4 linked regions of the Rattus norvegicus genome follow. The protein of the gene in region 3 binds, or shares a complex with, the protein of the main gene of each other region. Links are inferred from orthologs where the notes say so. Each region holds a gene or a part of one and is shown on either strand. Other genes may lie near its edges. The genes, in order: Rad1, Rhno1, Rad9a and Hus1.

Region 1 (7,405 bases), on a different chromosome or scaffold from region 3:
GATGTAATTTAACACGTCAAATCCCTACAGAGGAGGGATATAAAATATCCTGCTCCTTCCTACTGGTTAGAGAGCAAGTCAGGGATATGGGAAATCAAATATTCTCAGGAAAAACTGAGCTGAGGAACATTGCATTTGTAAATGCATAATTAAAAACATGTATTTACTATATGTGTATGATGGCTATGAGTGTGAATACATATATACATGACATACATGCTCATGGATGTCATAGAAAATCTCTTGAGAATTGGTCCTCTCTACCATTGGACCTAGGAATCAAACTCAGGTTTTGTTGAGCTCCCTTGGTAAGCACTTTAATAAGTTATCTCATCTGCTCAAAGTGTGAAATTGGACCCAGCTACAGATCACGACTAAGACTTGCAATCCTAGGGGGTCACAGCAAGTTCCAGGTCATCTAGGGTACATTGTATGGCAGAGTACACTGTAATCCCAACACTCAGAAGTTAAGACAGGCATACCTCAAGTTTAAGGCCAACCTGAGTTATACTCAGGACCCTGCAAAACCAAAACTTAATTATGGACCTGCCAGTGCAAAGCCATGAGTTACTTCCCAATGAAATAAAGCAATTCTCGGATTCTTTTGGGATCCTTCTGGACTTATATACAGGGTAACTGAATTTCCTAGTCAACGGTCAACTGGGAGTCAGCAAAAATTTGCTTCTCTTTGCCTCTAAGTAATTCTGAGTAAGTTAGAATAAATATGTAATTAAAACATATTTCACATTGCTAAAGATATTTTAAGACTTTAAAGTCTTTTGATTTAAAATTTTTACAAAAAAATTCTTTCAAGTTATTTATGAGTACACTGTCGCTATCTTCAGACACACCAGAAGAGGGCATCAGATTCCATTATAGGTGGTAGTGAGCCACCATGTGGTTGCTGGGAATTGAACTCAGGACCTCTGGTAGAGCAGTCAGTGCTCTTAACCACTGAGCCAACTCTCAGAGCACTGTGATAACTAATACTGTTAACTTGGCAGGCTCTAGCATCATCTAGGAAACAAGCCCCCAGGCACATCTGTGATGAGGGAGTTTCCTGATCAGGATGAGGTTGTAGGAGCCCCACCCTAAATGTAGGTAGCACCACTTTAAGGGCTTCCCTCTTAGACTGAATAAGAGAGCCAGCTTCCTGACTGTGGACAATGTGAGCATTTGCCTCACGCTCTTTCCTTGCTTCCAAGCCCTTCCTTGCCACATGGCCTAAACACTCCAACTGTGAGCTGATATAAACCTAAACTGCTTTGTAGGTCATTTTTTTCTACAGCAACAAGGAAGGTAACAACTTACCCTGCATAGTAAGATGAACTAAGATGAATGAATGCCTTCACGAATATGTAAAGAACTGTAAACAAATACTCATCTGGCAGTCTGAATATTTATGTTTATGATTGTCATCAGTGGGAGGAAAATGAGCTGAGAATTAGTTTCCCTTTATTCTTTGAAATTTTAATCCATGTAAACAAATCCACACCCTAATTATTAGGGTCTACTTATTAGGGTTAGGGTTAAGGTTAATGTTCCCTCCCTAGGACCTCCAAAGAAATGATTTTCTCCTCTGCTCCCAGCTGCCAAAAGCTCCACTAGGAGTGGGACCCCAGGTCTTCCCTGAGCAATTAGATTTCTAACAAAGGATTGGCTGGCTTGGGGCTGTAGCTCAGCTATAGTAGAGAGCTTGGCTAACATGTACTAAGTGCTAGTTTCAATCCCCAATACCACATAAAACTACAGGTGGCTGCCTATCTTTATCATCTCCTCAGTCGAGGCAAAGGCTGGAAGGTAAGTTCAAGGTCATCCTCAGTTATACAGACTGCTCAAGGCCAGGCTGGGATACATAAGACTGCCTCCAAAAATAAATAAAACATAGAAAAGCTCATATCCCAGAAGTCTTACTGTATTTTCTATGCTTTTAACCATAATAAATGTTTATGCCACAACAACAGTAGTAGTAGTAGTAATAATAGTAGTAGTAGTAGAAATATAGTTCACCTGGTGTAGGACTTGATCCAAAAATAGATAAACAGTCTAAAAGGATAGTTAAGTTAATTCGAAAAGTAACGGATTCTTCCTGAATGATAAATTCTTGAAATACATCAGCCTAGGAAAGAACAAACATGCAAACATGAAAGTGAGGTCATAGTAAGGAATGAAAAATTCACACATGAGAGTTTACATTTCACTTTATGCTTAGAAAGTAACCATACTGTGCCAACTCCATGAGACTATTTCTCATTCCCAACTAAGGCATGCTAACTTTGCAATGTTTATCACTTGAATACTACTTGATGGTTTAATCATTAAAGGTGTAACACTAAGGCCCCATTTAGAAGCTCCTGAAGGGGGTAGGGGTAGGATATGATGAAAATATATTGTATGAATTTTTTTTTTGGTTAAAAGGGAGTAGGAGAGATGGCTCATCAGTTAAGTACACTTGCTACACTTCCAGAAAACACGTTTGATTTCCAGCACCCACATGGTGACTCAAAACCATCTGTAACCAATTTAACCATAATAAATGTTTATGCCACAACAATAGTAGTAGTAATAGTAGTAGTAGTAATAGTAGTAGTAGTAGTAATAGCAGTAATAGTAATAGTAGTAGTAGTAATATAGTTCACCATGGTGACCCAACACCCTCTTCTGGGTTGGGCAGGAACCAGGCACATGCCTTTTGCAGACATTCATGCAGATAAAACATTCTTACACATAAAATTAAAAAGTAAAAACCAAAACCAAATAAAAAACCACAAAGACAACCCCTCTCAGCAAGGGTCCTTCATTTTCATTTCTGGATCTAAATCCACTAAGTTTATCCTAACTTTGTCTTTTGTGCCTATCAGTTAAAGCTAAAGTCACTTCAGGATAGGACAATTTAATAATGCATGCATGATAATTATTTCCAATTTCTTTTGAAAACAGAAACCATGTTTTATTTATTCCTACATAATTGTGAGTTGATACTATACTCAAGCGTTCAAAAACATGAATTGAACATTGAGCTCCGACCTGACTCATACAAATACTACATAAGAATAGATTATAGCTGTGGGTGATGGTGGGGCTTTGATGCCAGTACTTCAATACAAGGCAGAAGCAGGCTGATCTCCAAGAACTTGAAGTCGATCTAGTCTACAAAAGCAAGTTCCAGGTAACCAGGGCCATATGTTAGACTGCCTCGGGGGGAAAAATGCTATTACAGCCAGTAAGAGGAAAAACTAAAACATGCATTTCAATAATTATATTGTAAAGAGTAAACATTCTCGGTTGTTATCCTAACTAAATAAGACTATTGAAAATTAAGTCTGGTGCCACTTATGTCAAATAGGAAAGATAAAGTGTCTATAAAAGGTAAATGGTGATGAGTGTCTCATTAATAAACTGTCACTAGTAATCGTTCATCTGTGTGAGACAAGATGGGGAAAGTATTTGTTGGCAGGAAAGAAAAAAGTAGGCATTTTGTTCTCTAACTTGAGTTTTATGGAATAAGTCCTTCAAGTTAAACTCGTTAGGGAATGCTTAAAAATGTCTCCACTCCCCCATACCTGAATAAAGGCATTGGCTTGCACACACTTTGCATTTTCCACGGTAACCTTGATTCCATTTTTAGTAGCAAAACACGTGGCGTGTTCTTTGAAGTGAATGGCTTTCAAGACAGTGGAGAGATTCCTAACGTTGTCAAGGCTGGCCACTAAGCAGTACTGTTCGTACTCATCCTCATTGTACTGGGTTAGGAGAGGCATGGGTGGACCACTGTACGTTCAGCTCAGAGAGAAGGATGCTCCTCTTCCGGAAGATCTCCGAAAACCTGAGACACGGAACAACAAACCCCGCGATCAGTGCTAACAGGACTGGCGATCTCAACCCGAGCCGAAATCGGGAACATTCTATCTCCATGTCTCAAAACTACGGTTTCCTTGTCTGATACAGCCGGAAAATGCAATTCACTGGGTAGTTCTAATTGGCGCGGGTTCCTACAGGGTAACAAGAGCACGAGGCCTGCTTAGCCCCTCTGAGCGCCACCAACCTTAGCCCGCCACAGACACCTTAGACCGCGGCGCCGACCGTCACCCAGCTCACCAGCCCGCTCGCCGCACAGCGGCCACTAAGGGGAGCCCCGGGCGCCAGGCCCCTGCCTTTGAGGTGACGTCCGATCCCGTAAAGCCCTTGTCAGCCTAGCCCCAAGAAGAACACCCTGAGAATCCAGAAGCCAGCAAGCCTGGCAAACAGCTCCCGCCACTGTTCAGACCCGCAGCCAACCAGGCCACCGTCACCACCGAGCCGCCGGGTGCCTAGATAGTCTACCACAAGACCGGAAGAAAGCGTCTGAGAGCTGGATGACTAACTCAGGGCTCAGCGTGCACTACCATAGAGATCGGAAGAAGGAGCGAGCGGCGGAACCGGAAGTGTGGACAGCAACTAACGCGGCGAGGCAGGATGGCGGCGACTAAGAGAAAGCGGCGTGGGGACCTGGAGGTTCAAGCAAAGAAGCCAAAAAAGAACCGGAAAGATGCCGGGCAGCCAGCTAAGCAGGCCGATGTGGCAAAAGAGGCGGAGGAAGAAAAAGATCGTATTCCAGGTCCTGTTTGCAAGGTAAGAGGCCCGACTCCTGGAGTTGGAGTCGGCTTCCTGACCCGCCTTTGAGCTACCGAAGTGACTTCAACCAAAACTTGACTGGATTATGAGCTTAAGGTTCCCTTGACTGGACAGGACAGTGTTATGTCTAGTTTTCGTGCAGATGGCCGTATTCCTGGAAACCGCTGTTCGTAGACCCTTAGCCAACTAACAGGGAGGTAATTTAATGAGTATTTAGTTCTAATATTCTGCCTTCCGGTTACTGGTCCCCCGCCTCCCCAGAGTAATGTTTTTTCTTTTTCTTTTTTTCCTCAAAGTCTTTATGGTGTATCAATAAATTCCTTCCATCTTGGTCCATATCACACGGGGTTACCAAAGTTTGTTTGCCAAGCCTTTAAAGTTACTGTCCCTGTGAGTCCAACTTGTTTGGTTAGATCTTTAATTCAAAGGATAATAGTATTTTTTTTTTTTTTTTCGGAGCTGGGGACTGAACCCAGGGCCTTGCGCTTGCTAGGCAAGCTCTCTACCACTGAGCTAAATCCTCAACCCCGGGATAATAATATTATCAATAATAATAAACTTAGACCATTAATTTTACTGTGCTCAACAGTGCGTCACACTTATACCAAGATGAGCTTTCCTGGCCTTGGCATCTAGGAGACGATGAACAAGATTTCTTTCCTCCAGAAATACTGGAGTTTAGCAGGAAAGAAGGCTTCATAGAAAACTGGGTTTATTCTAAAGGCGAGCAGGTTCTTGTTAGAGTTACTTTCCGTCACCTGAAAACTCCTTAAGCAAGGTATATTTATGGAGGAAATCTTGCCTCAGACTTTTCTGACCTTTGTGCTTAGTGTAGTACTCTAGTACTAAGTAAAAAGTAAATGTGAAAGGCCAGTGTATATTGTACCCCAGTTTTAATTAACAGCTAAATCTCATACCCTTGTCTGAAAGGATAAAAGTGACTTTTTCGAAAAATAAGCTGGACTCATAAGGTTTTCAATAAAAGTCAGTGCTCTCTTTTAGGAGTCAGACAGAAACATGTTGGGAACTGTAATCTGAGTCACACTATGATACATTAATTGAAGTTAATGAGGCAATTACTACTTTTAGGGTGGTAAGGAAACATGTAGGACTTAGCCTTTTAGCTGGATTTCAAAGAAAGGGTTCAATTTATATATTGGGGGGGAGATGAAAAAAATTCATCAAAGGCATTAAATGGGGGGTAAGGGTTGGTGGAGAAAATCTAAAAACTCAGCTGATTAGCTGAGAATGTGCAGGGTCAGTGTTGGGCAGTGGTGTTGTAAACAGTGAAAATGCATTTTATAGTCCATGTTGAAGTTTGGAAACCAAGATTAAATTGGTGCTAGTTAGCTGTCACAGTGATTCTGTCTGGGAAAGCCAGGCATTCAAGAGCTTTGCAGCTGTTGATAATCAGTTATAGGGATTTAAGGACACTGTAGGCTTTACAAACTGTTGTAAAGAGGAACTGATAGTGGTCAGTGGTGCTTATGATGTCTGTGAGAAACCAGAGGCAAATGGGATCTTCAGAGTATGAGCCCCTGAAGTGAGGTAGCAGAAGGAGGGAAGGGCTAAAGAAGGGGGGAAGAAATATTGGTAAGGAAATATGCAGGTTTAGGCTTGGTAAAGTTTAGTGTTAGAGTTGAGTTTGAAGCTTTACTCTGTCTGATACATGTATAATTAAAGCTAGAAAGAGTCTTGCCTTTCTGTACAGTTAAACTGGAAATGAACATAGGAACTGTAATGGGGAGAATAAAAAGTTAAAGATGTTAGGGGGCTAAGGAAAGATCCTTGCAGTGGTGAGGGTGGTGAAGTAGTCCGTTTCGTTTTAAGACCTTGGCCTATGTTCCCAGGACAGCCTTAAAGTCCTGGTCCAAGTCCTCCTGCTTCAGCCTCAGTACTGGGACTAAGGAAGTATATCAATGATGCCTGATACTGGAAACTTGAAAAACTGTCAAAAACACACGAAGTAAGTTCAGCACAAAATGTTAAAATCTACCGTTTTCTTTTCTTTAGGGCAAATGGAAAAATAAAGAGCGGATCCTCATCTTTTCTTCCAGAGGAATAAATTTCAGAACAAGACACTTGATGCAAGACTTGAGAATGTTGATGCCTCATTCTAAAGCAGGTACGCTAGCATTGTGCTTTACACTGTGTGTATAGACCTGACTAACATATTTACATATTTACCTGTTTGCTCGGCTTTGTCAGGTAAAGAACCACAGTACACTACTACAGGTTGCTGGTACAGTCTAGTCAGTTAAGTAGAGGAGCTGAGGTTAGTCCCCAGAATTGGCAGAAAGGGTCTGGGTGTGGTGGCACAGGACTACTACTCCAGCTCTGAGAAGGTGGAGGCAGATGAATACTTGGGGCTTGATGGCGAGCCAGTTTTGCCAGGTGGGCAACCTCTGCCAGTTTAAGGACCCTGACTCAAAAACAAGGTGAGCAGCACCTGAAGGAAGACACCCTAGGGTGACCTCTGGACTGATGAAAACACACACACACACACACACACACACACACACACACACTCATTCACTTCAAAAGTTCACTCAAGTACCACATTTTAAAAGAAATTCTTAAATTATTAGAAGTTATTGACAAAAGTCCACATGTTATTTACTTTTAAAAATATCCATCTTAATATAGAAGGGTTTCCTAAAAATTCAAGAGCACTTACATTACAGTAGCTTCTAGTGGTCAGAAGATGGATGGGATATGGAGGAAGGACTGGCGTGCATTGCTTCCTAAACATTTAAAAACTTTCATTTTTGAGACAGGGTCACTTTATATA
Region 2 (7,363 bases), on a different chromosome or scaffold from region 3:
CTCCTCAGGGGTGTCCTTGACCAGAACAGGCCCCGGCTCCGGGGTCCTGGGGGTCCTAGGACCAAGGATGCAGCTAGGAAGACTGTTTTCCTTCTGGTCTGGGGAAATGGGATCTTCTCTTACCGAAGACCCTGGGGTCTGGATATCGGGGGGCATGAACACATGAGGTAAGCTTTGAGGTACGTGCACTGACAGCTCCCCACAGCTCTGGGGACTGAACAATGGCACTAAAGGCCTTCTGGGAGCATCCTTTTCTGAGTTCTGGAGCTGCTCTCTGTTGGATAGCAACAATGTCTCTGAACTCGAAGACTCTGGACTCTCAAAGGTTAGACGTGGAAACTTGCAGGTAGATCTCCGAGTTGGGTGTCTTGCTTGGTCTCGGTGATGTTTCCGGTGTGTTGGAAACCGGCTTTCTGCTGCTGTATCAAACTGAGGTAACACCTGTGCATGAAAAAAGAAAGATGGTGGTGGTGGTGGGCCGACTACAAAGAAACTATAGTAAATATGTACAACCCTTTATTTTTTGTCCAGAATCGTGAGGACTCACTACAATAAAAACCCAGCTATGTGATACAACAGGAAGACAAGGGACCTGGGCCAGCTGTCCAATCGCCCTGCTCTTCCAGTTGCTCCTGAGCAGGAGAGGAGACAGGCATCTCTCATGGCCACCACACTCCACTGCTCAAGCTTGTTTAACTCTGTCCTCGGGAGCAGAACACATGCTCTGCACACTCAGTTCAGTCCTCAGCAAAACCACGCCCTCAAGAGGGTAGGGACAAAGGGACTGTCTCCAACACCTGGCGAGGGCCTGGCAGGAAGGTCTTCAGCAAATACGACCGGCAGCTCCGTGTAAGTGAGACTGCTGAGGTGTGGGATCTAATCTGCATGTTCATTCAGTCAGTGCGTATGAATTTCTTTTGTCAGACAGTCTCACTGTAAAGTCCGGGCTGGCCTTTGCCTTGAGATCCTTCTGCCTCAGCCTCCCCAACGATGAACTTGCGTGAATTAGCACGCCACCTTTGTAGGAGGTTTCTCCACTAAAGTTCAGTCAACTGTAGAGTACCTAGTACTTTTCATATGAAATACAGGAAGTAATCTTTTATAAGTTGGTCATTTTTTTTTTAGCTTCTTCACCCAGTGACTGGGGAGTGAAGTGTTCAATCAGAACTTTTCAGAGGAACCTGGCAGGAAGACTCCAATTCCATATAAAACATATTTTAGTGTGAATGAAAAGAGGATATACCAGACAAATCAGGTAACTGCAGCCAGAAAGAGCAACTGCTTCCCTGTCCCTGCTCCAAAAGGATTAAGAGTCAGGATTCTGAAAAACGTAACACAGCAAAGGTCAAAGAATTGCGAGGACTCACCCAGGAAGTGATGGTGCTCTGATCAATGGGTTTGCTGGGCACCTGTACAGTGTGGGTAATGGGCTGCTGGTGAGATTCATAATGGGGTTTGGGGCCCTCCAGTGGCTGTTGGTGGAATAGCAGCTGGGCTTTCTGGCACTGTCTGCGTCTCTTTCGGGGAGGCATCAATGGGTAAATGAAGAACAGTTAGTAACAACATGATGCAGGCTGCCTTCCTGGTCTGGGTCAGAGTCCAGTTGCAAACCATGCCTGGAGAGAGGAAACAAAGGGGGGGGATCATGTGGGTGGCACCCCTCCCCCAATTCTTCATGACGTCAGGGTAACCAATCTATCAGAAACCACCAATCAGACCTCAGGTTGTAGGTAAACCAGCTTCCTATACCAAACCACGAGAAACATACGATCTTATCCATACTCAACAAAACTCACTCAGTGAGCACCCGCTGAACTCATGGTATTCTGACACACTGAGTGCTACGATTTAAAGACTTTAAAGATGGGCAAGTACTTATTCACAGTACTGAGTACTAAGTACCTGTAGTGACACAGAGGTCCCTGCTTTTGAGGCACTGTGGTACAGCACTTGCCTAATGTGCACAAAGCTGCAGGTTTCAGTCCCCAGAACTGCAAATGAGGGAACCGTGGAAAGGAAGAAGGAAAGGAAGAGGAAGAGAGCTAACCAGAAGGAAACAATCACATCTCAGTATAGCACAGTCCGCTTCAGTTCTCGTCAGAGAAGGCTTTCTGGGTAGGAAGACACTTAACCTGTGGAAGGAACCAGGAGAAGCAAAAGCCAGGAAGGTCACTGGAGGCTGAGGTGCACCACATGCAAAGACCGTTACAGAGGGCTTGGGGGCACATGCTAATTAGCACACCTGAGGCAAGAGATCTGGAGTTCAAGTCAAGCTTGGGCTGCACACAAAAAGCTCTCAAAAGCCAAACCAAACCAGATGCGGTGGGGCGTGCCTAGGATCCCAGCCCTAGGGAAGGGAGACAGGAGGATCAGGAGGCTCAAGGTTGCCTTTGGCTAGTGAGAGACCACCCTGAGTCACGTGAAACCTTAAACAGCCAAAACGCTGTTTTGTGAATTCAGAGAATCACAAGGTCATTGCAGACTGAGTGAAAGATAGCTCAGCAGTAAAAGAACTTGCCTCAAAAACCAAGGGCTTGAGTGTGTTCTCCAGAACTCACAAGAACTCGGAAGGCCGAAACTAATTCCCAAAAGATGTCCTTTGACATCCACATGTGTGGCATGTGTGTCCTCACAGGCATGTGTCCTCACACACAATGTCACTATCTATGAGGATGTGACTATCTAGCTAACAAAATAAAAAAGGAAAAGAGGCTAGGTGTAGGTGAGGTGGTAACATCCATCTCAAATCCCAGCATTCAGGAGCAGATTTCTCTGAGCTGGAGGTCAACCTGATCTATTTAGTGAGCTCCTTGCTAGTGGGGGATACAAAGTGAGACCCTGTTTTTAATAAAAGTTTTAAAGGATAAATGACAAAAAAAATAATATTAAACATGGTGTCAACATTGAGTCTGAAAACCAAGTGAGGCCACATGAGAGTGGGGTGGGGGTTGAGTAATCAATCATTACAGAATTTCAGATAGAAGCTTAGGCTCACATCTAGGTTTTGTTAAAAGACAAACAAACAACCAAACAACAAAAAAAACAGCCCACAGATTCTCTAGAACATAAAGAGGGGTCAACTGAGTTACGGGATGAGCCCCATGTACTTAGTACCCAGCTGGTTCAATCCTGACCATATATGATCTATTAGTTTCCCCTATCTTTCCCCTTGCATGATTTTGAAAAAAATGCATTCCTTTCAGTTTTCAGATTGAACCTCAGGCCTCAGCGTGTTAGGCGATAACGGTACCACTCGGCTGTATACCAGTCGTCTTATTGTGAGACATGGTCTTGCATAGCCTCGCCTGGCTTCAAATACACTGTGTAGTCTCCACCTCCCAAGTGCTGGTTCCCAAGGCATGCCCCACTGTTTTAGGTGCTTTTTCTGTTGCCATCATAAAATTCCCTGGAAGGCAAGTGAAGGAAAGAGGGGCTTATTTTGGTTCACAGTTCCAGGGTAGTCCTTTGTTGCTGGAATCATAGCAGCTGGGCACATCCCTTTAACAGGCAGGAAGAAGATGAACTCTCCTGCTCGGCTAGCTTTCTCTCTTTAGTCAGTCCAGGCCCACAGCCCATGAAATTGGGCCATATCCCACCCATCTCTGTCTAATCTAGATAAGCTCTTATATACTTACCCAAACAAAATCTAAGTCAGGTTTTGCACAATCTTGGCCTTTTTTTTTTTTTTTTAATTTTGAGATAGAGTCTTACTATGTAGCCTTGGCTAGCCTGGGGCTGGCTATGAATACCTGGCTGGCCTGGAATTCACAGAGATCCGCCTGCTTCTGCCTCCTGGGTGCTGGGATTAAAGGCGTGAGCCACCACATTCTGGTGTCAGTGAAAACCCACCAGCCTCTAACCTGTTCACCTCTCAAACACAGTCTTTATCTGCTCCCCATCTCATAGCATACCACGCCCCCTAAGTCTTAGTTCAAATCCCTGTGACCTTCAGCCTTTGTGTTCACCAGCCTAGCCTCCTCCAGTCAAAACATCTCCCTTCTTTTTTTTTTTTTTTTTGGTCTTTTTTTCGGAGCTGGGGACCGAACCCAGGGCCTTGTGCTTCCTAGGCAAGCGCTCTACCACTGAGCTAAATCCCCAGCCCCAAACATCTCCCTTCTTAATCTAGCTGCTTCAATGTTTCCTTCCCTTCTGTGTAATGGGTGACAGATCTTACACCTTGTTCTCAGCTCATAAGGAAGGAAGGAAGGAAGGAAGGAAGGAAGGAAGGAAGGAAGGAAGGAAGGAAGGAAGGAAGGAAAAAGAGAGGAAGAAAGAAAGGAAAAAGAAAGGCTTTCCTGCCCTAAGTCAAGATTTTCTCGTTAAAATAAATACTCAAATTTATCACTGGCGGCTGCGGGAGGGCGAGCCAGTGACCCGGGCTACTCCGAAGGCGGAAACACGAGAATCGAGAATTCTACACATGGGGATACCCGGGGTCAGACAAAACCCACCGGCCTCTAACCTGTTCCTCTGTAGCTAGAATTCTACCGATCTGTTCATCTCATTCTGGGCTCCCTCTCCATCAGACCACCGGTGAGCCCAGGGGAAGGACGGCCCGGTCTGCCACTGTACCTTCCACTCTTTCGTAAAGTATGGAAAAAAGATCGTCCGGACACCTCGGGGCTGGGCCCGAGGTGGAGGCGGCCACAGACAGGGGCGGGGCGTAGGGCACTTAACCGCAAGTCTGGGGACAGAAACCCAAGCTGGACCCCACGCAGCAACGAGGGCTGAGCCGCGCGGTGGATCCAGAGGTAGCCCAGTGGGTAGCTAACCGGGGGAGTGGCGTACGCTGCCCCGGAAGGAAGTCGACCACGGAGGCAGGGCGGTCCGGGGCGGGGCGGAGCAGGCTGCTGGCCGCGGTCCGCGCGTCCCCGCGTCCCTCCCGCCGTCCCTCGAGCTCCGGGGCCCCCTTACCCGCCCTCCCGGCCGCGGCCGCCGCTCCTCAGGACGCCGAGCGTTCGGGGCCGGAACCCGGAGACAAGCCGGTGCCGATTGGCGACGCTCCGTCACGTGACCGCAACGCTCCGCCGGCGCCAATTTCAAACAGCGGAACAACTGAAAGCGGCGCTGCGGGACCCACCCCCGGCCCGGGCTCACCCCCCACCCCGCCCCGGGTTCCCACCCCGGCCGTCCCGCCGGGACCCGCCCGCCCTGGCCTGGCTCGGCCCCGCGTGGAGCAGCGGTGGCCTGTGAGGTGAGTGGGGTGCGACCCGGTCCGGGGAGGGCTTGGAGTCGGGACTGCCGGGGCTGTGGGGCGCGAGGGGGTGTTGAGGACCGCCAGGAAGAAAGTCTGAGCCGCCGGCCTCGGCTTTCCCGCCGCGTTCTCCGAGCACCCCGGGACCCTGGGAACAGGCCTGCCCTCTGAGTCTGCACTTGCAGTCAACCCTGCCTCCGCCTCCACAGCTGCAGGGTGGGATCCTAGCTGAGCGTTGCAAGGTTCCCGGTTCTGTGTGGAGAATGGGGTCTTTGGGGATGGCTCTGCAAGTCGCCTTGCGCTAGAAGATTTTGGGAGTGTTAGGAAAAGGCTGGTCAAAGAGAGAGGTACCCTATGGTGGGGGGTGTCTACCATTTGATTGGGGTGGGTGCAGTGTGAAGCAAAACGAGAACTGAGATTTGAAGGTCGAGAGAACGAAGTATAAAGGAGAGAAAGCTACAGGGAGGAAGGGACCTAAGAAGGCTAAGCAGCTGGCAAATGTCAAAAAAGTGTAATTACTTTTTGGAAGGTTTCCTAAAGTGCCGGCTGTTTCTCCCTTTCTCGCAGGATTGCAAAATGGAGTGGCAGGATTTAATTTAATGATAAATTATTCTATCTATCTATAAAAACCTATGAAATGCTTTTTCTAAAGACTTCCTTCCTTAGCATTTCAAAGTGACTTTAGCATAGCCAGGCATAGTGGTGAATGCCTGTAATCTCAGCACCTAGAAAATTGGGGGCCAAAGGCTCAGTGGTTCAAAACCAGCCTGGGCTACATGAGACGCTATCTCAAAAATTAAAGCCACCTTAAGCATATTAATGATAGCACATTTTGGTATGGAGAAGATCTGTATTACAGTCTTTAGAAGCAGAAAAATCAAGTATTATACTTATAAAACTAAAATATAGTTACTCTCAAGTACCAAAATGTCACTGTGCAAATGCTTTGCAGATTTTGAAAGAAAGAATGGGACTGGAGAGATGGCTCAGTGGTTATTGACAACTATTGAAAAAAATTATTTTTAATTCAAGAGGATTGGAGTTTTTAATTGTAGTGTGCTTACCAAGCATTCACAAAGCTCCAGGTTCAATTCCTACCACTACCTAAACCTGGCATTGTAGCCACACCTGTGATTCTGGCAGGTGGAGGCAGGAGAATCAGACGTGTAGGTCAGCTGCATTATTTGAGACGGAAAGAAAAGGGCACTAGGACTATGGCTTGGGTAGAGTCTTTCATTCGTCCCTACAGTCATCGAGAGTGACCTGCATTCTAGTGGACAGTGGCTGGTATTTCCACATTCTTGTAGATGTGTATTCCTCTGGCCAAACATTCAAAAAGAGGTTTTTGCATTTTTACTGGGGCGGGGGTTGGGGAGGAGGGTTGCCCACATGCCACAGCACATGTATGGAGGTTGGAGGGTAACAGTCAGGAGCTGATTCTCTCTTCCCACCATCGTGGTCCTGGGGACTGAATGCAGGTGGCCAGGCTTAGCAGCTGATGGTTTCGGTCATTGAGCCATCTTGCCAGCCTCCCCTCCCTCCCAAATCTTTCTAGTTTGTTTGCCTTTTTGTAGTACTGGGAACTGAACTTAGGGCCTTGCTAAGCAAGCACTCTATTACTAAGCTACATTCTCAGCCTGGCCAAACATTCTTAAGCTTACAGGGGACCATGCACTTCAGTGCAGTCCCATGTTCCCATCTTGAAGTGTTTGCTGCAGTTTTCAGCTTTCCTTGGTCAGTGATAGGGCTTTATTTGTTTGTTCTTGTTTGCTCGTTTGTTTTTGAGACAGGGTCTCATGTGGCCCATGCTGACCTTGAATTCACTCTCTGGCTAAGGGTGACCTTAAACCTTCTAGGTGCTGGGATCACAAGTGTGCATCAAACCTAGCTTCTGTCCTTATTGTCTGAGGGTTGGACAAAGGTCCAGGCAGGATTCCCCTGGGCCTTTGAGCTTCTGCTTCTGTCTGTTCATGCAGAGGAACACTTCCAGTTTGTCTCAGCCCAGCAGATCTGATAGCAAGCTTCTCCTTGCCCTCTGCAGGGTCAAAGCTTGTGATTCTCGATGGAGAGTGAAAGCACAGCTTCATGATGAGAACCAGCCCCCGGCGGCCACTGATTCTCAAGAGACGGAGGCTGCCCCTTCCTATTCAAAATGCCCCGAGTGAAACC
Region 3 (7,398 bases):
GTAGTTTAACTCAGGGCTTTTGAATGTCAGGCAAGTGCTGTACTTAGAGCTACATTCTAGCCCTTTATTTTTTCTTTCATCTATTGTTAGTGTGTTTGAGATTGCCAGCACTTGGGGAAGTCAGAGGACAGCTTTCAGGAGTCTTCCTCTGCCGTGGATGATGGCTGTAGAGCTCACGTCCTCCGGATTGCAAGCATCTCATGCCCCACCCCCACCAGCCCTGGCTCACCTTGAACTTTCTCTAATCTCAACAGGCCTTGAATTGTCCTTTTTTTCTTAGAATTGTTTATTATTTTATGTCTATGAGTACACTGTAGCTGTCTTCAGACACACCAGAAGAGGGCATCGGATTCCATTACAGATGGTTGTGAACCATCATGTGGTTGCTGGGATTTGAACTCAGGACCTCTGGAAGAGCAGTCAGTGCTCTTAATCTCTGAGCCAAATTCAAATCCCTTGAATTTTATTTTTTTTAACCCTCCTCCTCTTGAATTTTCAGTCTTTCTACCTCAGCCTCCCAAGACCCTGAGATTACAAACCTATGCGACCATGCCTATAGTTACATTTTGGGAGGCTAAGTATGGGAAGAGTAGAATTATCAGGAATGGGGGCACTGTGGGCACAGGGTGGAGGGTGGCTTGAAGCAGTCAGGCTTAACTGTGCCACATATTCAACTTCGTTCTTTTCTTTTCAAGATGTACTTATTGTATGTGCTCTATCTGTACACCTGCATGCCAGAAGAGGGCATCAGATCACCATGTGGTTGCTGGGAACTGAACTCAGGTCCCCTGGAAGAGCAGCTGAGCCATCTCTTTAGGCCCTCCTTTTTTTCTTTTTCTTTCTTTCTTTCTTTTTTTTTCTTTTTTTTTTTTTTTTTCCGAGACAGGGTCTTGCTATGTGGCCCAGGCTGGCATCTCAAATTCTCAAAGTCCTTAGTGGTAGGATTATAGGCATGAGCCACCATACCTGGCTTAACACCTATTTATTGATCCTAAGCTGTGTGTGACGCACACAAGACAGAGCAACAGACAAAACTGATGCAGTTCCAGCCCACGTGTAGTAGCCACAACAGCAGGGAGCACAAGTATTAAACACAGGAAAACTGATAGGCACCATGGAGTGTTCTGTGCCGAGGGAATCTTTGCTGTTGAGCCTAGGAAGAGAAGCCAGCATGGGAAAAGCAGGCCACAGCCTTGGAAGCAGCCAGAGTGACAGCCAAGGGCCTGACAGGACTTTGGAGATAGGTGATCAGAGGTAGGATACAGTGAAGACATGTGGGACCTGGATCCTGAAAGTTCCAGATTAAGAGACCAGACTTTGGAGAGTTAAGCTGGTGGAGGCAGATCGCTGAGGACAGTGGAGACAAGGAGGGCCACTTTGCCGTCTGTTTGGTAACAAAGTAATCAGAATCCACTGAAGAACTGATCAGATGAGGAGGAGAGGATGCTAACAGCTAACTCCAGTCTAACAGTGAACTGGACGCCTCTATGTTGCTCACACTGGTTGCCTTGGATGTGGAATGGGAAAGCAGTCTCCTCCCCGGAGGCTTTAAGAAAGGAGAAGCTAGAGAGGGAGAGGAGCCTAAAAAAGAGGAGTTAGATAACTAATACAGACTTCCCGTTAACCCACAGGACACAGCAGGGAAATGCAAGTGTTGCTCTAGGCTGTTCTTTTCACACTTGAAGTAACTAAAACCCAGAGAAAGTTGAATGCATCCCAGCTGATAGCCCTCATCCTTGACACTGTCTGGGTAATTGGTAACGTGTACACAAACTACGTGTAGTGCTTAAGCCTTTCCACGACTTCCCAGTTCATCCCTTCAGCCCTGACGGGCTCAAGGCTCGGGACACTCCACCCAGCCATATGGTCCTACCCCATTGTGCCTCTGCTTCTGACAGACCCATCCTTCTACCCTTTTCTGTCCCAGAACCTTCTGATCTTTCCGTGTATTTATGAAGGTCAGTGAAGGATCCTGAAATCAGAATGAACAGCCTCTTTTCATGGTTCTTGAAGCAAGTTACGTTAATTTTTTTTTTTTTTTTTTTTTTTGAGGGGAGCTGGTGGTTGCTGCCACAACAGAATCATCCCTGGCCCTGATTGAGCGCGAACTTTCCTTGACCCTGTAACCCCACACACTAAAGTTAGTGACTCCAGAGGGTCTACTCTTCCCATGTTCGGACTCTGGTCCAGAACTCGATCCTTGGTGCAGGCACCTTGCTCCTCGGAACTGCATCTAATGTGGGAGCCCGGTGGAGCAGCAGAACTCTGCAGGGTGGGAAAGCCAGACCCGATGAAGGACGCAGGAGCGCTCCCTCCGTAGTCACGTGACCCAGGCCACACCCAAGGAAACGACTGAATCACGTGGCGCCGAGCTTAGGAACGTTTTTCTCACGTGACGGAGGAACCCCGGGTGGACCAATAAGGAAGCGGAGGCCAGGCTGGCGGCGGGGAGGGGACGGTGCGCGGGAAGAGAACTTTAGGCATTCCTAGTAGCTGCTGGGACTCGTTGTGGGTTGTATCCCGTCCCGGTCTGGTTGTAAAACAAGCTCGGCCTCAGTGTTTATGTACCATGAAGTGCCTGATCACTGGGGGCAACGTGAAGGGTAAGTTTAGACCTGCTTTGCAGCAGACCATGTGAGCAAGCCCCTGGAGTCCCCCTAACCACTTTCTGCTCTCCTTCCGTAGTGCTGGGAAAGGCTGTCCATTCGCTATCCCGAATCGGGGACGAGCTCTATCTGGAACCCTTGAAGGACGGGGTAAGAGACTGGGACGCAGGGATGGGGGCCGATTCAATGGCGAGTGGGGAGCCTAGGCTTGGCGTTCACTCGGCCTTACAGGGTGATGGTGGACAGGTATTTCGGCTCAGTTTATTTCCTCTTGAGTTGTTGGGACATCAGCTTGGGCCCTGTCTTCTGAGGCTGCATGTGTATACAGAGGGCACTTAACTCTTCCTAGAGCGCCTTGTGGCAGGCAAGGTGGGGCTAAAGTAACTTAAGGGAAAAACAAGCATGGCAGACCCTGAGCCGCGGAAGACTGGGAGATCTACATGCAAGAAGGTCTTGCCACACAGAAAGGGAAGGGGAGTTTCATTAGGAAGCGATGGAAGAGAACTGCCGCTGGATGAAATGCAGGGCATTTAGTGAGCCTGACGTGGCCCCTGACTATTATCTTCCCTGCTTTTTGTGCCTCAGCTCTCCCTACGGACTGTGAACTCTTCCCGTTCTGCCTATGCCTGCTTCCTCTTTGCCCCCCTCTTCTTCCAGCAATACCAGGAAGCTTCCCCTGGTCAGGATCTGCTGCGCTGTAAGATCCTGATGAAGGTAAGGACCACCTGAAGCATCCACAGCTGTGCCTGTGTCAGGTACTCAGTAAATGATGACTAGGGAGTTAGTCTCATATGGGAGCTAGTCCATGCAAAATGCAGTGAGGTCGAGATGTTTAGACTCTAGAGGGTTATAAGAGCACTGGAGAGGGTGGTGACATTCAGGTTGGTCAAGAAAAGTTTAGCAGCCCTTCCCAGCAAAGAGAACAGCATGGACAAGCCTGGTAATGTGCAGACATCCTGCATGCAGTGGGAGCCCCCTTTCACAGCTTTGTTGGGCCAGTGATGGACCAGGGCCTACATGGGATGTAGAGCTGGTCCATGGAAGCAGAGTGCCAGGCCGATGTCCTACCCTGCCCAGTCCTTCCTGTCCGTCTTCCGCTCTCTGGCAACGGTGGAGAAGACTGTGGAGAAGTGCTGCATCTCCCTCAGTGGCAGCAACAGCCACCTGGTGGTCCAGCTTCACTGCAAATATGGTGAGCAGGCAGCTGGCCAGCTAAGAGTGGGGGAGTGGAGTGAAGGCTGTCAAGCCCACTGAGACCATTTCCCCTATCCAGGGGTCAAGAAGACACACAACCTCTCCTTCCAGGACTGTGAATCCCTGCAGGCTGTCTTCGACCCAGCCTCATGCCCCCACTTACTCCGCACCCCAGCACGGTGAGCATGCCTGCTTCGGACTTCACCTGAGTCTCTCCCACCTTTGGGGCCTTAAGTGTTATTCTAGGATATCTCACTCTCAGAATGAGATGAGGATGGCGAGTGGGGAACCTAGGCTTGGCGTTCACTCGGCCTTACAGGGTGATGGTGGACAGGTATTTCGGCTCAGTTTATTTCCTCTTGAGTTGTTGGGACATCAGCTTGGGCCCTGTCTTCTGAGGCTGCATGTGTATACAGAGGGCACTTAACTCTTCCTAGAGCGCCTTGTGGCAGCAAGGTGGGGCTTCCCACCTCTGGATGGAGGTGGGAAGGTCAGAAGTTTCAAGGCCAGTGAGTTTCTAGGCTAGCCTAGGTATTATGAGACAGTCTCAAAAAAGGGTGCATATGCTGGGGAGATAACTCAGTAAATGTGTGATGTACAAGCATGGGTGCCTGTTCCGAGTCCTCGCTTAGATAAGAATGTGTAATGTCAGTTGGCCGGCGGTGCACGCCTTTAATCCCAGCACTTAGCAAGGCAGTGGTTTTCTGTGAGGACAGCCTGGTCTACAAAGCAAGTTGCAGGCAGGCAGGCAGGCAAGCAGGGCTACAGAGAGAAACCCTGTCTTTAAAAAAAGGAACCAAACCAAACACCAAGATGGGCAGCACCTGAGAAGCAGCAGCACTGAGCATGTCTTCTGCCCTCTGCCCATGCACGTTCACACAACACAAAAGCACCTTTGCCTCTAAGGCGGAAACTCGGGGTTTCTGTGTCAAGGCCACACATCGCTTACCTTGCTCTTCAAGAACAGAAGCTGCTGTCTCTCGCCATTCCCACTGACTGTGGGTCCTGCCTTGTGTATCCCAGAGGCCTGCTCTGCTTGTCTAGAGAGAACCTATGACCTGCCTGCAGATCTCTTTTTTTTTTTTTAAACATTTATTATGTATACATCACACAGCTTTCTGCCTGCATGTATGCCTGCAGGCCAGAAGAGGGCACCAGACCTGATTGTAGATGGTTGTGAGCCACCATGTGGTTGCTGGGAATTGATCTCAGGACCTCCGGAAGAGCAGACAGTGCTCTTAACCTCTGAGCCATCTCTCCAGCCCCCTGCAGATCTCTTGTATGACCTGAATAACCCTGACAGCCTGTCCTTGACCCTGTGTCACAGTTTCAAAGCCCTCTGACCTCTCACTCTTCTGGTAGTGTCCCTCTTTTTTTTTTTTTTTTAAGATTTATTTATTTAATGTATGAGTATACTGTCCCTATCTTCAGACACATTAGAAGAGGGCATCAGATCCCATTACAGATGGTTGTGAGCCACCTTGTGGTTGCTGGGAATTGAACTCACAACTTCTGGAAGAGCAGTTGGGTGTTCTTAACCACTGAGCTATCTCTCCAGCCGGGTAGTGTTATATTCCTCTTATAGTGGCTTCTTCCTAACTGCCAGGGCTCTAGACTCTGGGCCAAAGGAAGGACCTGGGCAAAGAAGCTGGAGTCTAGGAGGGCTGCTGCACAGCCCGACAGCCCACGTCAAGACAAGGCATGGCAAGGAGAGTGTTCCAGCTGACATTAAGGTGGTCACTGAAGCCCAGAATGCAGTGGGTTCTCCCAGCATCCCCTGCCTGTGCTGGACACTGCATGCAAGTAGCCCAAGGTCCCACTCATTTCTCAGACTGAAGTCCCTTCAGGTCCCAGTGTCATCTTCCCCAGGGTCTGTTAATAGTGATAAGAGTTCCTTTTTGGAGGGGCTATTTCCCCCCTAAATACTGGCAACAGAACCCAGGACCTTGTGTTTGCTGGGTACTCTGTACCACTGAGCTAAATTAAATTCCCAGCCCTAACTGCTTCTCTTCCTCATATAGTTTCAATATAGAAGTCAGGATGGTGGCTCAGCAGTTAAGCCTGTTTCTTTTTAGCCTGACTGGTTGAGTTGTCAGGTTTTAAATCCCCAGAATCTACATGGTGGAAGAATGGACTCCCATGGGTTTTCTAGTCTCCACATGTGCACCAGAGCGTCGGAGCTGTTCTTCTCTCCACAGCACACACAGTCACAAAATAAGTTTTAAAAATTCAAATATAGGGGTTGGGGATTTAGCTCAGTGGTAGAGCGCTTGCCTAGGAAGCGCAAGGCCCTGGGTTCGGTCCCCAGCTCCGAAAAAAAGAACCAAAAAAAAAAAAAAATTCAAATATAGATGCCAGATACCCCACCTCCATCTCATGCTAGGGACAGAACCCAAAGACTATAGTCTTGAGGCAAATCTAGGAGTTACTTTTCTATAAACGTTCAGCATTATAAATCCTTAGAAGATGGGGGCAAGGCCTGGGTTGGTGTTCAACACCTTTAATCCCTGATATTGGGAAGAAGAGGTAGGTAGATCTCTGTGAGTTCAAGACCAGCTCAAGCTATATAGTAAGACCTATCGCTGTTCCACTTCTGGGTATGGGTGCAGGGTGTTGTTGAGCCCCTGGGTTGATATGTTGAGCCCCTGGGTTGGGTATGATAGTGCACACCTGTAATCCCAGCTCTCTCTCTCTCTTTTTTTTTCCCGGAGCTGGGGACTGAACCCAGGGCCTTGCGCTTGCTAGGCAAATGCTCTACCACTGAGCTAAATCCCCAACCCCATCCCAGCTCTTTTTAAGAGGTAGAGTTGGGCTGGAGAGATGGCTCAGGAGTTAAGAGCACTGACTGCTCTTCCAGAGGTCCTGAGTTCAAATCTCAGCAACTGCATGGTGGCTCACAATCATCTATAATGAGATCTGATGCCCTCTTCTGGTGTGTCTGAAGACAGCTACAGTATATCCATATAAATAAAAGAAATCTTAAAAAGTGGGGGGGGTAGAGTCAAAAGGCCAGAAGGATTGCTAAGTTTGAGGTCAGCCAGGGCTAAATGTAAAGAACCTGTTTTAAAACAACCCCCACCCATCCCCAAAAAAGTAGCTGGGACTAACAGCAATGTTGTCCTGTACCCAGCTTTGCTTTCCCCCACTTCCGAGCTCTCGTTCCTGGGTCCCTGAGCAAAAGGCTCTTTGCTCCCACAGCAACCTGCCTTGCCTGCCCCTCTGCTGTGTCTAGGCTTTGGTTTTACTTAGTCTGCGCTTCCACTGCCTTAAGAGCTTCTCACCAGGCAAGTAACATAAGAGTGGGCAAAGCATCTCGTGCACATCCGATGTTTGTCCTTGTCACAGGGTTCTGGCAGAGGCGGTTCTGTCCTTTCCCCTTGCGTTGACTGAGGTGACCCTGGGCATTGGCCGTGGCCGACGCGTCATCCTGCGCAGCTACCAGGAAGAGGAGGCAGGTGAGGGAGTTAGACCTGTCCCAGGAGGGCACAAGAGCTAGGAGTGACTCAAGGATGTTAACTCCTCTGTGCCTGCCACATAGATAGCACCAGCAAGGCCATGGTGACTGAGACGAGCATTGGGGAGGAGGACTTCCAGCAGC
Region 4 (7,185 bases), on a different chromosome or scaffold from region 3:
CATAAATAACGGCACTGCAAATGAAATCTTCAGATGGAAACATGTCAGCCACTCACACCACACAGTCGCGTCTTTCTAATGCATTCTCAAGGCAGCAACACTAATAACCCTCCGAGGAAGTTCTAAGCAGTTAATCAGTCTGCAGAGTGTTCAACCTGGGTGCACCTTTTCAGGCAACACTGGCTCCCAAGGTCCACACCCACCAAATATTGGTTTAGTTCCTCCTGGGTTGGATGTGATTCTCCTTCTCGAGTCTCCATCCCTCTGCAGTTCGCCTAAGCGGTCTGCCATGTCTCACAAATGCAATTTTAAAAACCCAAGAAATTTTTATTTGACATGCACAAGATAAGGAGTCCGTTGAACGACTGCTCAAGTAGAAGCAAACTTCTTAGGTGCCAGTGGTCCTCAAAGAGACGTTTGCTCATGCCACCTCTACAGTCTAAGTTTTTGCCTCACAGTTTTCTTGTGTAGAAATTAAGACAAATATTGACTTCCAGATTTGCCGAAGAACTTCTGAGTGATGCCACATTCTTTCCCTCTGGGGCAATTTTTCCGACACTAACCGTTAACAAGCCTGCAAATAAATTAGTCTCTTCTCCCCCCTGAGACTAGTGAAGAAGGACTGACAGGCACTGCCATGCCAGCTTTGGGTGACAGTAAAGGCATGTAACCAACCCAGGTTGTATATCCCCGCAGCTCTAAGGGTCTTCTCTGACCTCTAGCTGTATACACTGAATAACTTTCTTTGTGTAATGTATTTCCTTTCCTGAGACCAGATCAGGTAAGATGTTTTCCTCCCCAGTAAGTAAACACAACACCAACATTGCTCCACAGATCCTCATGTGACTGAATTGCTTGCCCTGGAGGTTTGGCCTTTATAAAATCAAAAATCCATTTACTGGCTAGATGGAAAAAAAACAAGCAGACATTGCACTAGAAAATGCTCTGGCATATATGACTTCCGGAACTCTCTAGAGTGTTTTTTCTTTTGTCAACAAAATCATTTGGAAGGAAAATATGGAATGTCAATATATTTAATTATCAACTCTGAAATCACTGGCTTCGATTTCTAAACCTACTTAGCCTAATTGCTAGAATATATTATTAGCATTTTCTTCTATGAAAAGATTATCAGAGTTTTCTTATATTTTTGTTAAGTAAAATTCTTACGTTTCCTGAGACTCATCAGCAAGGAACATGCTGTCATCATCATTACATAAATCTCTTCTTAGGAATATTTTTAAAATGTGTTGCCATTTTATTACATAATATTAAGCTGTTTAAATTAAAGATCAGATATAATGGCCCTTCTTACAAAGTGTTTTTTTTTTTTTAAATACTGTCTTATGGAACTGGGGAGATGGCTCAGTGGGTAAAGTACTTGCCTTGAATCACAGGAAATCAGGCTCAAATCCTCACTTAGCACACGCACGTGCGCGCACACAGACACACACAGACACAGACACAGACACAGACACACACACACACACACACACACACACACACACACCCACCCCAAATGGATTTAGCTAATATTTGTAATTCTATTGCTCCTATGGTGAAATGGGAGACGGAAATAGATGAATCATCGGGAGCTACGTTTCAGCTAGCCTGGGTTATTCATCAGCTGACAGCAATGACAGACCGACTCAAACAAGATGGTTGTTTAGTACTGAAACCAGAGATTCCCCCTTTGACCTTCCCATGGGCTCCAAGGCATGGACGACCCTGTGTACATGCACGCACACACAGACAATACAGCCTTTAACCACACAATATATGTAACAATTACCTTACTTCTTGTGACATTTGATATTTCAAAGTTAATGACACTTGGCTTGCCAATCACTTCTATGTCGGAGTGTAGAGTATAGCTTCCTGTTATATATATTTTTCTATTTTTTACTTTCCCAGTAATTGCACCATCAGCTGTTTTATTAATATCTTAACTCTGTGTCTCAAGGTAAAGACAGTTTTTGGAAAAACATCTTTCTTTACTGTTTTTGTGTAGAAGTGAGCATGCTGATGCATACACAAGTCACATACAGAAGTCAGAGAACAACTTTTGAAATGACACCTGGGATTTCAGGGCCCAAACTCAGGCCTTCATGCTAAACACTTTTACCAGCTGAGCCGTCAGAATATTTTGTTTGGATATCTGGTGCACTGGAAAGAGTGCTTACCATGAAAGTGGGGAGCTGGGGTGGGGGACGTTAATCCCAACACCATTTTAAATTTTTACAGGTATAATCCTTGTAAAACCAAAATATTCTATTCTGGGTTTAAAATTCTTTTAAAACAATTCTAAGACTGCTACACTAAGAGGGCTTTTGTTTGTTTGTGGTACTGGGATTAGTGCAAAGGTCACAATCCTTTTCAGCAAGTCCACTCGTGTTCTCTCTTTCTCCTCTTTCTTCTCCTCTTTTTCTTCTCCTTTCTTCTTTTTTCTCCTCCTCCTCCTCTTCCTCCTCCTCTTCATTCTCCTCCTCCTCCTACTCCCCATCATCCTCTTTGTCCCCCTTCCTTCTTTCATTTTAAAATAATATTTGTTGGCATAATGTCATTAAGACATGCAGACAGGTCTCCAACCTGAGATCCTCTTGCCTAAGCACCCCCATTAGCTGGGGCTAATAAGTATTTTATAGGTTCCGTTCAGTTTCTTTTGAGACAAAGGTGCAGAATTATCACTTCACTACATCTGTTTTTAGAGGTAACTACTGAGTAAAGTGTTCAAAATTTAAAAAAAAAAAAGTTTCAAACAATTTTCAAAACATTAAAACGCTATGTTGCCAAGTATCTAAACTTTTCGGATCCGGTTCCCAGCAGCCTTCGGGGTGTGAGAGTGTGGGTGGACGAGCGAGCGCGCCTAACTTAATCCAGGGCAGGCAGTGGGCGGACCTCTCCGGCCGCACCGTCCCCCGCGGAACCACTGTGCGCGCGTCCGTGTTTCCCCACCGGGAAGCTCGGGGAGGGACTTTGGTACGCCTTGGACTGACGCCGCCCTCGGCCTGGTATCCGCCATGAAGTTTCGTGCCAAGATCGTGGATCTGGCTTGTCTGAATCACTTTACACGTGAGCTGGCAGGGCTTCGGGGAGCGGGCGGAGAGTGTGGCTGCAGCCCCTGTGAGAGGACTGGCGGGGTGAGGGCGGCTCTAAGAGGGAAGGAGGGTTAACGGGGACCTTTCCTTTGCTGCCCTCACTCACTCCTCTTTCCGCCCGGAGTTTGCCTAACCTTGCTAGCAGTTCTGTGCTGCGGTGTCTGACTGATTTTACGTTTCTGTGGAATGTACGCCCGGCTCCCGGTTGTCAGTTGTTTTCTGAGGCTGTTTCCTTATTCTGTTTCCGTCTTGAACTCTGGTGCTGTGGGCTGAGTCTCGCAGGATGTTGGGAGACTGGCAGGACGTCCAAAGGTGATTTGTGAGCTAGAAGTTCTTTCCGCAAGATGACCTATAGGACACTCAGTGTGCTGCTTAGTTAACTGTGTACCCCCTCGTTGTAGGAGTCAGTAACATGATAGCCAAGCTTGCCAAAACCTGCACCCTCCGCATCAGCCCAGAGAAGCTGAACTTCATCCTCTGTGACAAGCTGGCCAGTGGAGGCGTGAGCATGTGGTGTGAGCTGGAGCAGGTGAGCAGGAGAGCCCAGGTTACCCTGGTCTCCAGCTAAGCATGCTGGGAAGGCTACAAATGCCTGTTTCTGTCCTGCAGGAGAACTTTTTTAGTGAATTCCAAATGGAAGGAGTCTCTGAAGAAAACAATGAGATTTATTTAGAATTAACGTCGGAAAACTTAGCTCGAGCCTTGAAGACTGCCCAGAACGCCAGAGCCTTGAAAATCAAGCTTACTAACAAGCACTTTCCCTGTCTAACCGTGTCCGTAGAGCTGGTAAGTGGGAAGAAAAGGATTTCTGATTTTTTTTTACAAGTGCCTTGGTCTAGGCAGTATATAGATGGCTACCAGCCTGAGCTTTCAAACAATATTCATAAAAGTGAATTAGTTCTATTTAAAATATAAATCTGAGTCCAGAATGGTGGTACATGTCTTTAACGGCAGCACTCAGGAAGCAGAGATAGGAAGATCTCTGTAAGTTCCAGGACGACATAAAGACCCTGTATCAAAATAAAATAAAATAGAAGATCTGGTTCATAACTTATGCATGAGAAACGCGCATTGTTCTAGTCATTTATCAACAGTCATGATGGTACAATGTTCTATGAGATACAGCTTTTCCCAAAGAGTCAAACTGCTAACTAGTATCTCTTTCTTCTAGAGTGTTGTCACCTTGTCTAGATGTTTCCATTTTCACCTTAACATTGCCCCCTCGTATCCTGTCTTCTGTGATATTCTTAAACAGTCCTCATACTTCAGTAACACATTTGTCTTAGATGCTACTACCAGATGAGTGTAGTGCACAGCCTCTCCTCAGAACACACAAAAGCATGTGTATAAGATGGACTTTTTCATTCCTAACTTGTTCAAGGTCTTTCACGTATGGTTCAAGCAATCTTGGAGCCAAACCATCAATTATTAGCTTCTGAGTGCCTCTCTAGGTATGTCTTTTTTGCCCAACTCCCGTACCAGTGACATTGGTTGGGCTTTCCATGTGGAGTTTCTCTCCAGGACCTTCCCTTCCTTCAGTGCTCGCCCCAACCCACTTGGGTCTTCCTTATTTGTACAGCCTTCCTTTTTTACATGCTCTGTAGACCAATATTGCATTTGTTTTCAAGCTGTTAATTAATTTCAAGAAGTTAAATTGCATGCCTTCATAATTTGTATGTGTTCTTAGAGCATTCTGTGTAACTGTATGTTTGGATTTATTTAGTTCTTTTGTTTGTTTTGGTTTTTGAGTTTTTGTTTTGGTTTCTTTGTAGCCTTGGCTGTCCTGGAACTAGCTCTGTAGGCCAGGCTGGCCTCAAACTCAAAGATCTGCCAGCCTCTACTTCCCAGATGCTGGGACTAAAGGCATGCACCACTGCTTAGTGGATTTATTTAGTTTCTTAAGCAAAAGCGAGATGGTAATATTCGATACTTTTCTAAGTAAGAATGCAAGAATTTTCGTTTCTTTTTTTTTTTTTTTTTTTTTGTTATCTTGTTTTGATACAGATTCTCAGGATGTAGCCCTGACTATCTTAGAATTCACTATGTAGGCCAGGCTGAATTGAATTTACAGAGATCCACCTGCTTCTGCCTCGTGTGCACCACTGCCCAGCAGTACTTTGGTTTTCGAGTTTTAGAAATGCTTCTAGTAATAAACATGGTTTATCCTTTTAGTGTTGCAAAAGCTGCAGCACACCGAGGATGTGGCCTGGCGGATTTGCCTTTTTCTCTCTCCCAGGTTTACGAAAGCGGATGCTGTTCCTCTGACTGAAACCCTGTCACCTTACCTTCAGCTTCTTGACAGTCGTCTGCCTCTCTAGTGTTGATGTCCTCTGAGGCAGCACCCCAGAGGTTCTCACTTACTCCTCCCCACCATCACCTCTCGCTTCCTCAGCCTCGTTGCTGATGTGCTTTCCTCAGGCTCCGATGAGTATCCAGTACATCTGTGGTTGCCTGCTCTCTTGTCCATCCGTCTTGTCTCAGTCACCACACTGTTGGGAGACTCACAGGGCCCTGAGCAGAACAGGCACAGCACACCAAGAGCATTGATTGAATGCAGTTTGAGTGAACGGATTAAGAACATCCCAGTTGGACCGGAAAATGTTTAGCATCAGTTCTTGTGTTTTGGCTTTGTTTTAGCATTGTCAGCATAAACTGTTCTCTTTTTTTTCTTAACAGTTGTCTTCATCAAGCAGTAGCAGAATTGTGGTACATGATATCCCCATAAAGGTTATTCCGAGAAGACTGTGGAAGGACTTACAAGAACCCTCCATCCCAGAATCTGATGTAAGTGTTGTCTGCAGTCCAGTGCTTGAACACACAGTAAAGGGCAGGGTTTGAATTCTCTAATGCTAGTTGTTATCTTACAGTGTGTTTTATTTGAAGTTGTATAGTTTCTGAAAAAGAATGCGAGTCATTTAACAAGACTCCAGATGTGAGTAAGTGCCTTTCGCTATATCTGTAAATCCTGGAAAAGAACTGATACCCATTTGGAAATGGCACACTTTCCGTCCTGGAGGGCAAGTGCCTTTGCTCAGTGATGGCCTACATACAAAAGAAAACAGCCTAAGCTATGCTTTGGAAGACAATCTGTATTTATCATGACCCTTGGCCATAAGCACCAATGTTTCATAGGCCTTGATGAAGGAGTCAGAAAAGGCATTTTGTTGACTTGAAGCTTAGGTTGGCTATGGCACTTCTAGGAACCTCAGAGCCGTTGCAAGCAAAGAGGATGCCGACTGGTCCTCTGCCTTGCCTATGTGAAAGGAAATTACTCAGGTAGTGAATGAAATGTGCAGCTGACAGTCATCAGAAAGCGTCTGTATAGGTTGAGGGGAGCCAGCATTGCAGACGGCTCTGTAGGTAAGACAGTTCAAACGAGAGGTGATGCTGTCTGGCTGTACTCTTAAACACAGTACAGCAAAGACCCCTGAGTCCTATAAATGCTTCCCAGAGGAAGGCTTCCCGCTCAGCACTTGACGTGCGTTCCCCTTGGACCTGCGTGTGGGCATCTCAGCTGAAGTACTGTGTTCCTTCTCGAACCGTAACAATGCCCTTGGGAGTATGGTCGCCATGGTAACCAGAGCCAGGTATTCAGGTATCTTTACTTGCTTGACTAAGTTAGCGACGTTTTTAAAGTTTTAAAGCAACTTTATTTGGATTTTTTTTTTTAAAAAAATGTGATTCTGAGTTTTTAAATATGAGCATCATTCATAGCTGTTGATTGAATATCTGTCATTATAGACTATATTATGATTCCTAAGGCTTGTGATTTCTCCTACTCGTTTTTAGGTCAGTATTTATCTACCAGCCTTGAAGACAATGAAGAGTGTCGTGGATAAAATGAGGAACATCAGCAATCACCTTGTAAGTTATTACTCCTTCCGAAAAGAGCTGCGAGTGAGCCTAGCTCTGTGCTCTGCTCATCCTGGGAGGCAGCTCACTCTAGTCCCCGGGGTAGGCGCTCCGTCACCTGAGACACAAGGTTTCTCTTCACTAAGGCCCCACTGGGAAGGACAGAGCTTGGCTTCTAGGGACCTTTCAGCTCTTACTCACTGGGGAAAGCATTCAACTTGCCTTTAATCTCTCG

Evidence for each region.
Region 1: the proteins of Rad9a (region 3) and Rad1 are in contact, whole or in part, in a crystal structure (PDB 3GGR), measured with the Homo sapiens proteins. The link is inferred for Rattus norvegicus from reciprocal best matches to the Homo sapiens genes RAD9A and RAD1. Residues at the interface, in NP_004575.1 of Homo sapiens: Leu76, Ser82, Val83, Ser86, Leu90, Lys92, Leu112, Phe116, Gly117, Val118, Arg119, Lys120, Thr121, His122, Asn123, Leu124; in NP_002844.1 of Homo sapiens: Glu165, Ala166, Ser168, Glu169, Asn195, Ala196, Gly197, Ser198, Ser199, His200, Leu201, Asp202, Tyr203, Pro204, Asp206, Ser207, Glu211.
Region 2: the proteins of Rad9a (region 3) and Rhno1 are in contact, whole or in part, in a crystal structure (PDB 8WU8), measured with the Homo sapiens proteins. The link is inferred for Rattus norvegicus from reciprocal best matches to the Homo sapiens genes RAD9A and RHNO1. Residues at the interface, in NP_004575.1 of Homo sapiens: Val41, Ser44, Arg45, Ser46, Ala47, Tyr48, Glu130, Leu132, Gln133, Ala134, Val135, Glu165, Tyr181, Glu183, Thr216, Phe217, Cys218, Gly244, Pro246, Val261, Leu262, Ala263, Thr264, Leu265, Ser266; in NP_001239428.1 of Homo sapiens: Thr88, Lys90, Phe91, Pro92, His93, Leu94, Thr95, Phe96, Glu97, Ser98.
Region 4: the proteins of Rad9a (region 3) and Hus1 are in contact, whole or in part, in a crystal structure (PDB 3GGR), measured with the Homo sapiens proteins. The link is inferred for Rattus norvegicus from reciprocal best matches to the Homo sapiens genes RAD9A and HUS1. Residues at the interface, in NP_004575.1 of Homo sapiens: Leu157, Pro158, Pro161, Val176, Ala186, Lys191, Ala192, Met193, Val194, Thr195, Glu196, Met197, Cys198, Leu199, Gly200, Asp203; in NP_004498.1 of Homo sapiens: Thr84, Asn87, Arg90, Ala91, Lys93, Thr94, Phe110, Ser121, Ser123, Ser126, Arg127, Ile128, Val129, Thr130, His131, Asp132, Ile133, Pro134, Ile135.

Annotation. Positions count from the first base shown.
Region 1 is NC_086020.1:61,185,694-61,193,098, reverse strand, and holds the start of Rad1 (cell cycle checkpoint protein RAD1), read right to left. Parts: upstream 4,291-7,405; 5' UTR 4,046-4,290; intron 3,827-4,045; 5' UTR 3,762-3,826; coding exon 3,564-3,761; intron 2,120-3,563; coding exon 2,011-2,119; intron 1-2,010. UniProt on the Homo sapiens protein: Component of the 9-1-1 cell-cycle checkpoint response complex that plays a major role in DNA repair. The 9-1-1 complex is recruited to DNA lesion upon damage by the RAD17-replication factor C (RFC) clamp loader complex.
Region 2 is NC_086022.1:163,320,596-163,327,958, forward strand, and holds the start of Rhno1 (RAD9, HUS1, RAD1-interacting nuclear orphan protein 1), read right to left. Parts: upstream 4,792-7,363; 5' UTR 4,463-4,791; intron 3,081-4,462; exon of another isoform or gene 2,048-3,080; intron 1,617-2,047; 5' UTR 1,533-1,616; coding exon 1,368-1,532; intron 442-1,367; coding exon 1-441. Other genes in the region: Foxm1 (forkhead box protein M1), read left to right, coding at 7,283-7,363. UniProt on the Homo sapiens protein: Involved in microhomology-mediated end-joining (MMEJ) DNA repair by promoting recruitment of polymerase theta (POLQ) to DNA damage sites during mitosis.
Region 3 is NC_086019.1:210,920,246-210,927,643, reverse strand, and holds the start of Rad9a (RAD9 checkpoint clamp component A), read left to right. Parts: upstream 1-2,482; 5' UTR 2,483-2,569; coding exon 2,570-2,603; intron 2,604-2,685; coding exon 2,686-2,756; intron 2,757-3,191; coding exon 3,192-3,320; intron 3,321-3,591; coding exon of another isoform or gene 3,592-3,683; coding exon 3,684-3,798; intron 3,799-3,879; coding exon 3,880-3,979; intron 3,980-7,145; coding exon 7,146-7,255; intron 7,256-7,338; coding exon 7,339-7,398. UniProt on the Homo sapiens protein: Component of the 9-1-1 cell-cycle checkpoint response complex that plays a major role in DNA repair. The 9-1-1 complex is recruited to DNA lesion upon damage by the RAD17-replication factor C (RFC) clamp loader complex.
Region 4 is NC_086032.1:87,912,952-87,920,136, reverse strand, and holds the start of Hus1 (checkpoint protein HUS1), read left to right. Parts: upstream 1-3,002; 5' UTR 3,003-3,020; coding exon 3,021-3,072; exon of another isoform or gene 3,073-3,410; intron 3,411-3,499; coding exon 3,500-3,627; intron 3,628-3,707; coding exon 3,708-3,884; intron 3,885-5,774; coding exon 5,775-5,882; intron 5,883-6,887; coding exon 6,888-6,962; intron 6,963-7,185. UniProt on the Homo sapiens protein: Component of the 9-1-1 cell-cycle checkpoint response complex that plays a major role in DNA repair. The 9-1-1 complex is recruited to DNA lesion upon damage by the RAD17-replication factor C (RFC) clamp loader complex.